Drosophila melanogaster: one gene and its partner. The protein of the gene in region 1 purifies or fractionates together with the protein of each later gene. This does not show direct contact. Each region holds a gene or a part of one and is shown on either strand. Other genes may lie near its edges. The genes, in order: Cyfip and HSPC300.

Region 1 (7,691 bases):
CTGGTCAAGTCCGGGGACCTAAGCGTAGTGTGCGTAGGATCCGTGTGGTCCAGCTGGGATCTGCTGCAGGAGGCCTTCATCAGTGAACTCGCTAAGACAACCATCGACTTCGACCTCAAGCTGGTGCGCATCACCAAGAGCAGTGCCTACGGAGCCTGCTACCTGGGTGCGGATAGTGCGGACTTCGATCTTCCGAGAAACTATGCCGACAACGTCACAGTACTGTACACGTACACCGATCCTCGAAAGAAAGCCAAAGCCACCAACGGCTGTAACTGTTAGATAAATTGTGTTTGACAACCCATTCCGCAATACACTTCCCAATTGCCAAATTCGCAATCAATATTCCAGTTAGTGGTACGGATAGGTAGTATTATAGCTTATCAAAAAATAAATAATTTTATCCTTTGACGAAATCCGCTGGAAAGTAAAGAAGTTTCCCTTTCAATCTTGCATCAAACTCACCTACATATACTTTCTAAACTTTTTTTGTTGGGTTTGTTAGAAATACGTATGAAAATTTTATTCGATAATGTTCATTGTATTAATTGTATGTGTCTCAATTGTTGGCTGTCGTGGCTTCTTTTCATGTATGTGGGCATACATGTGCGGCATCTTCTTTGTAATACTTTGATTGTGTTTAAAGCCAATTTGTTTTTATTTTCGCAGTGCTGTCAATTCAATTCTTTGGCTAATTTGATTCTCGAATCGGGAAGCAGAACATAAATGTATCTGTTTGTAGCGAAGGAATACATAGGCCAAAAACATAATATCTTAGGGAGCTTAGAATAGAGTATTTGGGATAATGTACGAGTAGCTGAATCGAATGCCGTAGCAAGTGAATCAAAATTACATCTACATGTATATATATATAATTGCTTGGATAAAACATTTAACGTACTGTAAGATTGAATGCGACATACCAAAAGAGATTTTCAATAAAATCGAATTCAAATAGAACCAAGACCGCCACTTTGACTAAAAAAACTGTCAAAGTTTCGGCAGCATAGCCAAGAAAACTTGGCTTTTCGGCTTCTACGTCGCTGTTTTCCTGGGGACTAATTCATCTGCGATTAAGTGTAACCTATTTGTATGCGATTAGCTTAAATGCATCCCTTTCCGGGCGACTTCAATTGTTTATGCTCTGCCGCAGCTTCTGGGGATCCTGGTAGTGCGACGAGGACGATATGACCGAGGGATGCTGAGGCGGTGGAAAACACCGCACGTGCTCCACATTTGAGCCCTCGCCATCGCCGCCCTTTAGATACTTGTTGAGAATGGAGAAGATTTGTGAGTTTAATACTTGGAACCGACGAATCCGATCCACCATTCGCTTCAATTGCTGTTAAGGAATATTCAAATTGTACTTTGGGCACTTTGGTAGTTATGTTAGAACTTACAATGCCCTTTACGTCCTCATCCTTGCCATCGACGCGCTGTACCCGCAGAATGTGGTAGCAAAAGTCCAGAGCCTCGAAGCGACGCTGCTGTCCCAGCAGTACGATCATGACGCAGCCAGCCCAGTTCAGACCTTCGCCGAAGAGCTCCTCGATGGTGTACTCCGTTCCCCTGACTGGAATGCAATAAACGAACTGCAGAGCCGACCAAAGGCGATGGAACTCCGAGCACTCATCCACGTGGATAATCCCGTTGGCCGGTGGAGGACCACACCACACAGGGTCGTCCAAATAGCTCTTCACGCGGTTGAGAATAACTTCAAAAATGCTGAGGCCACAGCAAAGACGCTCACGAGTCAGCAAATCTCCCTCTCGTGCTATCATTGCTTGCTGTTGGTAAAGATTATTATTATAAAGTTAATCAATTAAGTTTGGGGGCTCACCTTTGCAGTGCCAATCTTTTCCACGTTTGAAACTATCTGCAGATTGGCAAACTGTGCTTCAAGACGCTTTTGCTTAGCCTCCGGTTTTTCATTCTCTGAAATGGGTAGAGATGTAAGTAAGAAAAACTACCCATGAAAGCATCCACTTGTACATACCTTTGCAAAAAGGTCTGGGAAAGATGTTCTGGAAGAGGGCGGCGTGCAGTAGATCGCACACCTCCTCCTGCGAGAGCGCCTGTTCGATCAGCAGGCAAAAGATAATGCTGTTGCCAAACTCCCGGAAAGACTGAAATAGCTCTGTCTTCGCGTCCGGATATTGCACGATGTCTGTAAGATGAGCCTGATAGTAGCTGAGCACTCCAGGCGAACCATATTCGCAACGGGGTAGTTTGCATGACTTGGGCATGGCAATCATCAGCGTCTTGGTGAACTGCAGCAGCGAGCCCTGGATCAGTGGCTTAACAATGTCCTTCAGTATAATGTCCATGACGACTGCTATGCCCTGATAGCCCAGCAGGCGGCACATGGCATGGAAATGCGGTGAACCTACAAAGCCAGTGTACTGGCCATACTGTGTGGAATAGGCAGCATTCAGCTGCTTGGAACCCCACAGATAGTAATGGGACATTTGTGGCGGCTTCTCACGCTGAATAGCCTGTGACGACGAAAGATTCACTTTGGTTCGAATGAAACTGCAAGAGATAATAGTAATAATAAGTATTTTAAACAATAGAAAATTGGCGGCACACCCACCGATTCGTGGCTGCATTATAGCAGTAATTGACCAGAAAGTCGTAGTTCAATTCCACAAAGACGTGCAGTGTTATTCTGCCGTAAGGCGCCAGTACATTGTGGTTAGCCTCCTTTACCATGCCGTCAAAGTTATCCAGGGCCAAGTACTTGCTTAGCAACTTGTGGCAAATTCGATTCGCCTCTAGCAGGCCTTCGAGTTCCTGAAATTAAGCGAATTAGAGACCGATTCTAGACATCTGTAGGATTCCACTTACCACAATGCCGGTTATATCGTTGCCCTCGAAACGACTGATGGCCAACTCAATGCTCTTGTGCATGTTGGCGTTTATGCGTTGTGTGATCAGTTTGTTCAAGTCAATAGAACGGCCTTAAACGAATGGAGAAACCATTAACCAAAAGATCATGATGCAATGGGTGTTTTGCTTACCCAAAAGTTGGACATGTCGTTGTTTTAACAAGGTCTCATAACGATTATTGCGGGGATACGACTGGAAGTTGAAACCGAGTACCTCGCACTCCAAACGGAATCGCTTGTCCAAGAAGATGCTGCCCGCCAATTGCTTGTAATGGGCAAAGATCTGCTCGCTCAGCTTGTAGACAAACTGATCGAAGCACAGATTGACTTCGGCCTCCACTTCGTCGTACAGGAACTGCTTTCGGAAGACAGTGAGTGCGTAGTACGCCGAGTCGTTGTACAAGTCCAGGGGATACAAGACAAATCTGTGTGAGGCACTTAGTTAGTTCAGATCATTTCACCTATTCGCCATTTACTTACTCCATCATTGAGGGCTCCTTCGTTTGCAGAATGTGATCGGTTAGGATCCAGGGCATGGACATTTCAATCGGAAACTGAATGCGCTTCTCCATGGTGATCAGATCCTTGCACTCCTCGTTGTGCTGATGCCGCACCAAGCACTTGTTAACCTTACGACCCATGGTCATCTCCAAGTAGAACTCGCGATACCACAGCTGCGAGAGATCGCAGCACTTCTGAAGCGTGTCGCTGAAGTTGAGCAAGTAGCTCCAGTAGAACGATGTCTTGTGGAACGTGTCGATCTGCAGCAAACAGTTTCCGTCGATGTCCTTGCGCAAAGTGCGCTTGCCGCCGCTTTTGTCGGCAATCAGAGACTCCAGCATGGTGCGCACCATGTATAGCTGAGTGGAGGAAGGTCCCACATTGAGGCGAGGCACCTGGATGCGGAAGCCGCCGTCGGGATCCTTCTTGCCCTTGGCCACTGGATCGTCGGTGGGCTCATAGCCCTTTTGCCAGTCCGCCGATGTCTCTCGCACCGACATGATGATGCTCCGGATAAGATCCTTCTTATTTTTTACGGCCTTTCGCAGCGGTTCACGAAGCGAAAGCTGCACGAAGTCCTGCAGCTCGGAATAGATGTTACGCCGGATAGCCTCGCACAATACGGTTTCAATGCGCGCCATTAGCACCTGCAGTCCCTTTATCATGGCGATGACCTCGATCAGCGCGAACTTCTCTTCCGAGGTGTAATTGTAGCGGGTGGCCCGCTCGTACTCCTCAGCCTCCACGGGGCACTCCTTGTTCTGGTGATGATCAGTCGGATGCAGGAGCTTCCAGGAGTACAACTCGGTGACCACACTGGTCCACTCGGACAGCAATTGAAGGCCGCGCAGAGCCAGGTCGGCCGTAATCCGGTTCTCGGCATCAGAGGGATTCTCCTTGACGGTGGTGGTCACCTCGTTTGTGTATCGCGCCAGCTCCGAAATGTACTTGACGTGATCCTCGCGTATCTGCGGCAAATGCACCATTAGATCCGCCTGTGGGCTGATGGCGTTTGAGCTGGACAGCGGCCACTTGCTGGAATCGAAGTGCTTGCTGCGCTTTATGTAGTTGAAGGGAGCAATCTGCATGTCGCCGAAGAGGGGCACCACTTCCAGGTTCTTAAAGATGCGATCGATGCGATCCAGCCGTATCTTCTTCTTTTGATCAAGTTTGTTGATATTGCACGCATCGCTGTCCATAAGGAACAGGCCAAAGCCCATAACTTTTACCAGCATGTGCTTCTCCTCAGGGGTCAAGTACATCTTTGTCTCGAACATATGCACGCAAATGTTGACCACATCTGAGAGCAGATCCTCGTAGCCCACGATCTTCTCCAGCGTGTCCTTGACCGTGTCGCGAATCTTGTTCTGCGTGGCCAGGAACATGGACAGATTCTGCGACTCCTGCAAGGTGTGCGAGTCCGACATCACTTTGAGGAACTGCGCAGCTCGCCTGTAGGTGGAGTAATCGTTCTTCACGCTGGACTTCATGTTCTTCAGCTCGTCCAGCACGGCAAACATGTTGATAAACTTGCCTAGCGTCAATAGGTACGCCTCGGACACGAAGTCCTTGCGCTTCTCGGCGTGGCACAAGCGCTTCACCTCGCCGGAGAAGGCCTCGATGGCCTTGCGTTGGAAGTACATGAAGTTGAGCAGCTTGTTCACCTCCGGGGCTAGCACCTCGACCGTCTTCTCGTAGATCTCCACGCGATTCGGCTGCTCATTGGACTTGGGCTGCGGAATGGCGCGCGAGCAGCAGCGCCAGGTGTAGAGCATTACTGCGTGTTTCTGCCCCTCGTCCAGGAGCACATTCTGCGGGCGGAGAGAAGGGGTTCAGAGCTGTGAGTAATGCTAATGCGATAAGCCGGATACGCTAACTCACCAAGTTGGCATGGGTGGTGGCCTCCTCGATGTACTTGGCGATACCCGTGACAAATCCATTGCGATCCTCGAAATTCGTATCGAAGTTTGCCTTGTAGATAATCGAGCAGGGCTGCGCCTCGATGCAGGGCTGCTCGTCCGGCAGGGATAGCTCGTCCAACACCTCCACGTTGGACAGCGCGTCGGCTAGCGTAATCTTCTCCGTCATGCTGGGCTGCTTATCATGCTCCAGCAGCGCGAAATGGTTAAATTCTAACAAGGCGGGGCCCCAATCCAATCGACACAAATTTTTTTCGCCACAAATACAACACGACTTTTACCATTCGCCTGGGTGCGTGGACACGTGGCCATAATTAGCACATTTTTGCTGGCGGTTGGCGTCTACGATGTGCTTATGCTTATATGGCTGCGCACCGCTAATTTCGATAAGAGAAAGATAATCGATAAATACGGCGCATTGGCGGCACATCACATCACTAGCGTCTGTGGTTCCGTTTCGTTTTAGCGAACTCAATTTCTCCTATTTTATATTGCATTTTCCGTTAAGAGTAGCCTACAATTCTGCAAGATGTCGATGTTTTGGGGTAAGTCGAACTGATCTCACTTGCCCCCTCCGGGCTGGTTGTGCCAACGAGCTCTTGGGTGCTCCGACCGCGCTTTTATTGCCACCACGTGCTTGCCGCTCGATTTACCGGCAGCGTGGAGCGGCGCCATTTGCACGCCGATGTAAAGTAAACCATGTTTTTGACCAACTGTGTCCTCTTCCAGGTTTGAACATGAAGCCTGAGCGCAAGTACTCGCAGACGATCATCAAGTCGTTCCACATCTCGGGCGTGGCACTCGACAAGGGCCAGGAGGCCAAGTTGTACCTCGCTGCCGAGAAGCAGGAGTACATCGTGGCCACCGTGACCAAGGCCATTCCACAGGTTGCGCTCGACCTGAACTTCAGCAAGGGCGATCGCATCATGTTCTACACCGCCGGTAAGACCTTTTATGTCCACTATGTTCGCATGTTTATCCGTTTCTGACGCTTTCGTTCGTTTCACAGGCGACGCCAGCGTTTCTCTGTTGGGCTACTTGCACGACATTGATTCCGAAGATGATGAGGATGACGATCAAATGACGATCGAGAATTTGCTGAACTCCAAGGCGATCAAGAATAGCAAAAAGTCTGAAGATGATGAGGATGAGAATGAGAGCGGCGAGGAGGACGAGGAGGATACTGATGACGATAGCCAGATAATCGAGGAATACGAGTCCTTCCTCGAAAATGGTGAGGAGGAAGATGACGACGATGTTGATGAGGATAACGAGGAGAGTGGCGAGGAGGATGAACAGGACAGCGACGACTCCGAAGCTGAAGAGGAACAGCCAAAGGCCAAGGTTGCCAAGCTCTCTCCTGGCGCTAGCGCCAAGAAATCTGGCAAGGAGCAGAACGGTGTGGCCAAGAAGGAGGAGGCCAAGCAGCAGCAAAAGAAGAAGGAGAAGCCAGAGGCCAAGAAGGAACAACCCAAGGCCAAGGAGCCAGCCAAGCAGCAACCAGCTTCTAAGGATCCACGTACTATCACCGGAGGCGTGAAGATTGTGGATCAGGTCGTCGGCAAAGGCGAAGAAGCCAAGCAGGGCAAACGCGTATCTGTTTACTACATCGGCCGCCTGCAGTCGAACAACAAGACCTTCGACAGCCTCCTGAAGGGAAAACCATTTAAGTTCGCCCTGGGCGGCGGAGAGGTCATCAAGGGCTGGGACGTGGGAGTCGCCGGCATGAAGGTGGGCGGCAAGCGAGTCATTACCTGCCCCCCGCACATGGCGTACGGCGCACGGGGAGCTCCACCGAAGATCGGACCGAACTCCACTCTCGTCTTCGAAGTGGAACTGAAAGCTGTGCATTAGTGCACTATATTAACATCATATAGACTTGTAATCCTAAGTAAGTATCCACGTCGTACAACTTGATAAAAATGTTAAATAAACTCTGTTTTCCGGCTGTTCATAAATCAACAGTTTTGTAACAATCGCATGTATTTGGTATGGGGTCTCTAAGGGGTTTTTTCGGGTGAACATACATCCAGCAGGGGCTCAGACTGGAGTTTCCAGTGCTCGAGTACGTAAGGCAGCCGTTCGCTGGGATCTGTGCTCCAGTGGTGCAGACGACACTTGAGTCGCGCCTGTTCCAGCTTGTTTATGGTCACAGTGCAGTAGAAGTCCTTGTTCTCCTTCTTCAGGTCGGGTCCCTCGATGCGCTCCTTGGGCAGGGTAATGCACTCCTCGCGACAATAGAACCCAGTCTTGCGCAGCGAGGCCTTGATGTGCCAGGGCTCGAGCACCCATGGCTCATCCTTGTTCATGACCACCGCCAGCACAATGGTCTCCAGCATGTTGACCGTGCGCTGGGCGTAGGGGGAGCTGTGTTTAACAGTCG
Region 2 (3,630 bases), on another chromosome or scaffold:
CATGCTTCTAAGGAAGTACGACAGTGCCTAAATGGCATTTAAATGTTATTCTCATGCATCGAATATAATAAACTAGTCTCGACATCATTCCTAGCATTTGGTTTCGTAGCTTAGGGGATTTTCTAAGGATTAGGCGGCTGAAAGGAATCCCTCCTTTAAATAAAACATGGCTTTGTACACATGACTGTCTCTTTACATCTTATTATTACATAAACTCTAAAAGTACGTCTTTAAAGGGGCCAGGCCATCATTTACTGTGGCTCTCTAGGTAAACTGTTGCATTGTCCACGCCCATAAACTGGTGTATACTCAGCGAGGACAGCATTTTCATCTGGCCCTGGTACAGCACATCGGCGATGATCTTTTCCGCGTAGATAGCCTGTGTTCCGTCCATGGAGCGAAGCTTGTGTGCGATAATTTTCCCGAAGTTGGAGAAGTGGTCGTCCAGCTGGCTGTCCGCACTCTTTAGGGCCAGCGAAAAGAGGCGCTCAAAGTCAATGGTGGAAATGTCCGCTCGGAATTTACCTGGAGGCGGCTCGTTGTCCTCCGAAATCTGCGAAGAGACCGAGGAGGACCTTTTCCGTGTTATGTGATTGGCTTTCTGGCTCGGGCTCTGATTACTGATCAGTTTCGTTTGGTTCTGGGTGACGATGCGCTTGCACTGCGGCGATTCGGAGTCGCCAGGCGGAGACTTTATGGAGTCGGGCACGGATTTTCTGCGGGCGGACAGCAGCCTGTTGTTAGCAGGCACCACGATTTCGACCTCCTTGATAGTAGCGCCACTGGCATGGCTGTTGGCGTTGTTGACTGTTTTAATACTGATAACGGGGTCAGCGGCAGCGGCGGCGGCGGCCTCCTCGAAGATGTTGGCACAGAATTCGTTGGCGCTGTTGTTGGGTGACATCTTGATCGAGTCTGCCGTCGGCTTTGGGGGCTTGTGCAGGCTCTCGGCGTCGGAATACTCGTCGCCGTTCTCTGGCGCCCCTAGCTGCATGGAGTTGTCCAGGCAGACCGACTGCTCGCGCTTGAACTTCTTGTCGGCGGGGATCTCCTCGTCCTTAAGGAACATCAGGGACTCGAAGTAGCGGCGCTTGGGGCAGTAGGGCTCGTACTTCTCGCCCTTTTTCTTGACCTCGTTGTATTTCCTCAGCTGATGACGAAATGCACAGCGCAGATTGTTTATCTTTTGCTTTGTTCGCTCCACATTGTACATCTCCCCGTGCTTGGTGGCCACCTCGATGAGCTTCGCGTAGGCCTCCTGCCGGCGGCTGCGGTTCCTGAAGTCCGCCGAGTCCGCCTTCCACAAGCACGGATTGCTTTTGTATTCTTCGATGAAGTCGTCGATAAAGTCCATTTTTTGTTTACCAAATGAAAAACACTGTAGTTTACGGGGCCACCTAGTTTATCTATGTGTGCGTGTGCGTGAGTGGCATCAATAGCTATCGTTTCGCTCGGCTCATTCCGATTGGAACACGCGGAATCGGACCGCAAAATGGGTACATACTTTGCTGGTTTGCAGTAATTCCTTAATAAATATCATTTAAAACAATAAAACATCGAAAACTAACCCACGGTTAATATAAAATATAGCAAACGCAAATTCGAATATATCTATGTATATTGCGATATACAATTGTATATTGCGGCGATAAGTTTCTTTATATATTCGGCTGTGTCTACCCCAATACTTTTATTATTTACCTTTATTTTATTATTCATATTTACACGCTATAGTTGGCAGACAAAAATATTAAGTTATTTCTTTCATCGCACTTTCCCGCGTAATTTTTAAATAGTAGTGCTTAGGGAGTGTTGTAAAACACCATTAAAATTTCTTGTTGGAGTAAAAATTTGATCTCAATGAATCACGGTGAACACGGTAATTGTATGCCTATCGATAGTTCCAAATTTTTGACAATAATTGTTCCGGCCCAACCCATCTCTCATCTCTAGATAAACACAATTAAAACGAACAGAAACAATAGGAATAAATAAAGATGAGTGGGGCTCACAGAGAGGCGATCCAAAAGCAGATCCACCAGGACTGGGCGAACAGGGAGTATATCGAAGTGATAACTGCCAGCATAAAGAGAATCACCGACTTTCTGAACTCTTTCGGTAAGCAACCTGCATACGAAGCACCCACTTCCCTCTGACGCATGTGTGTGTGCGCGTGTTTATTATCACTTCCTTTGTAGGTGTGGGTGAACGCATAAGTAATATTACTAACAAATATTCATCAGTGACAATGACTTTATTTACTCAAGTCTTAAGTCTATAGAAACAAACAGTGGTTTGTGCGTGGTGGCATATATGTATAGCAATATATGTATCTACATACATATGGAAATGTATGTATGTAACATCATCGGAGGGCTCAAAACGAAAATTCGGCTTTATCTCTATCCGAATTAGTCACCTAAATGAATTGGATAAGCTTTTTCGGTTGCTCTATGCATAATTTAAGATACGCTAAATACTGTGATAAATGATAAGCCAAAGAGTGCGAGGTAGTTGGGTTGCTAAAATATCCCATATCCTTAATAGGGTTTATGTACACTGTTGGCATTATAAACTGTATCATCGTGTGCTATCATATCCTTTCAGATATGTCCTGTCGCTCCCGTCTGGCGGTGCTGAACGAAAAACTAACGATCCTGGAGCGGCGCATAGACTATCTGGAGGCGTGCGTCGCCCAGGGTGAAACATTAACGTAAACGCTGCCCACAACCTTATACTAAGCTTTGTACATTTATAAGTAATTAAAATACTGATTTAATATTTAATATCTTTTGATTCGCAATGTGAATTGCCGTGACATTAATAATTCGCTGTACATTGTTTGTTTGTTCTTTGAAGGAAGGTTTTCACGGCTGAGTTACTTGCGGCCATCGGATTCGATTCATTGCCCCTTTTAAGAATAATATAAGTAATAGCTCAGAACCAAGACAAGCACGCGATGTTTTTGCCAACTAACCGTAGCTGCCTTTATTGTCAATGTTAATGCAAATCGCCCGCCATATATAAGCCGCTTATTAGGGTCTAGTCGTAATCTTGTGAATGTTTTTTCTAAGACCTTAATTGTGCTTAGATTAATCATCGTTCTAGTAGCAGGAGGCTAGACTTAAGTGCTACATTTGTCATAGTTAATTTATATACTCTCTGAAGCCTGGCAAATCCCCCTTCGATAACGATATAATACTCGGCAGGTGTATGGTAAAAAAACAAATCTCTTTATTCCGAGCACGATCGTAGAAATAATTTTGATGATCAGATATAAGCGTAGACCTAATTAACAGTGCATATAACCAAGAGTTTCCGGAACCGGGATCCGCCTTACACCTTGATTCCCGAGGCCTCGGCGGTGGCGCGGTAGCGCTTGATGTAGATCTCATCGGGATCGTACTTGGCCTGCAGCTGCTTCCACTCCTCGGGCTTGTTTTCGATGATGTAGCGAATGACCTTGTCGGTGTTCTGGCGCTGCTTCTCGCTGCACTTGCTGCACTCCGTCTTCAGGGCGTCCGGCAGGGACTTCTTGAGCTCCCGGCCCTCCGGGGTGCACTTTCCGTTGTCCACCAGGCACTTGAAGTAGTTTCCGAAGAGGCGGTCCGACTTCAGGATCTCGTCGAC

Evidence for each region.
Region 2: the proteins of Cyfip (region 1) and HSPC300 purify together in Drosophila melanogaster (affinity purification with western blotting; 4 studies listed by BioGRID). This does not show direct contact.

What each region holds. Positions count from the first base shown.
Region 1 is NT_033777.3:15,331,175-15,338,865, reverse strand, and holds Cyfip (cytoplasmic FMR1 interacting protein), read right to left. Parts: upstream 5,601-7,691; 5' UTR 5,478-5,600; coding exon 5,271-5,477; intron 5,201-5,270; coding exon 3,369-5,200; intron 3,314-3,368; coding exon 3,021-3,313; intron 2,961-3,020; coding exon 2,848-2,960; intron 2,794-2,847; coding exon 2,594-2,793; intron 2,533-2,593; coding exon 1,997-2,532; intron 1,936-1,996; coding exon 1,841-1,935; intron 1,788-1,840; coding exon 1,401-1,787; intron 1,343-1,400; coding exon 1,130-1,342; 3' UTR 501-1,129; downstream 1-500. Other genes in the region: Nagk (N-acetylglucosamine kinase), read left to right, coding at 1-282; Fkbp39 (FK506-binding protein 39kD), read left to right, coding at 5,838-5,853, 6,038-6,250, 6,318-7,162; mRpL9 (mitochondrial ribosomal protein L9), read right to left, coding at 7,309-7,691. UniProt on the Drosophila melanogaster protein: Plays a role in guidance and morphology of central and peripheral axons and in synaptic morphology. Also required for formation of cell membrane protrusions and for bristle development.
Region 2 is NT_033778.4:24,027,102-24,030,731, reverse strand, and holds HSPC300 (haematopoietic stem/progenitor cell protein 300), read left to right. Parts: upstream 1-1,942; 5' UTR 1,943-1,997; coding exon 1,998-2,118; intron 2,119-2,607; coding exon 2,608-2,717; 3' UTR 2,718-3,015; downstream 3,016-3,630. Other genes in the region: CG30172 (uncharacterized protein), read left to right, coding at 1-31; CG3163 (uncharacterized protein), read right to left, coding at 248-1,354; EbpIII (ejaculatory bulb protein III), read right to left, coding at 3,337-3,630.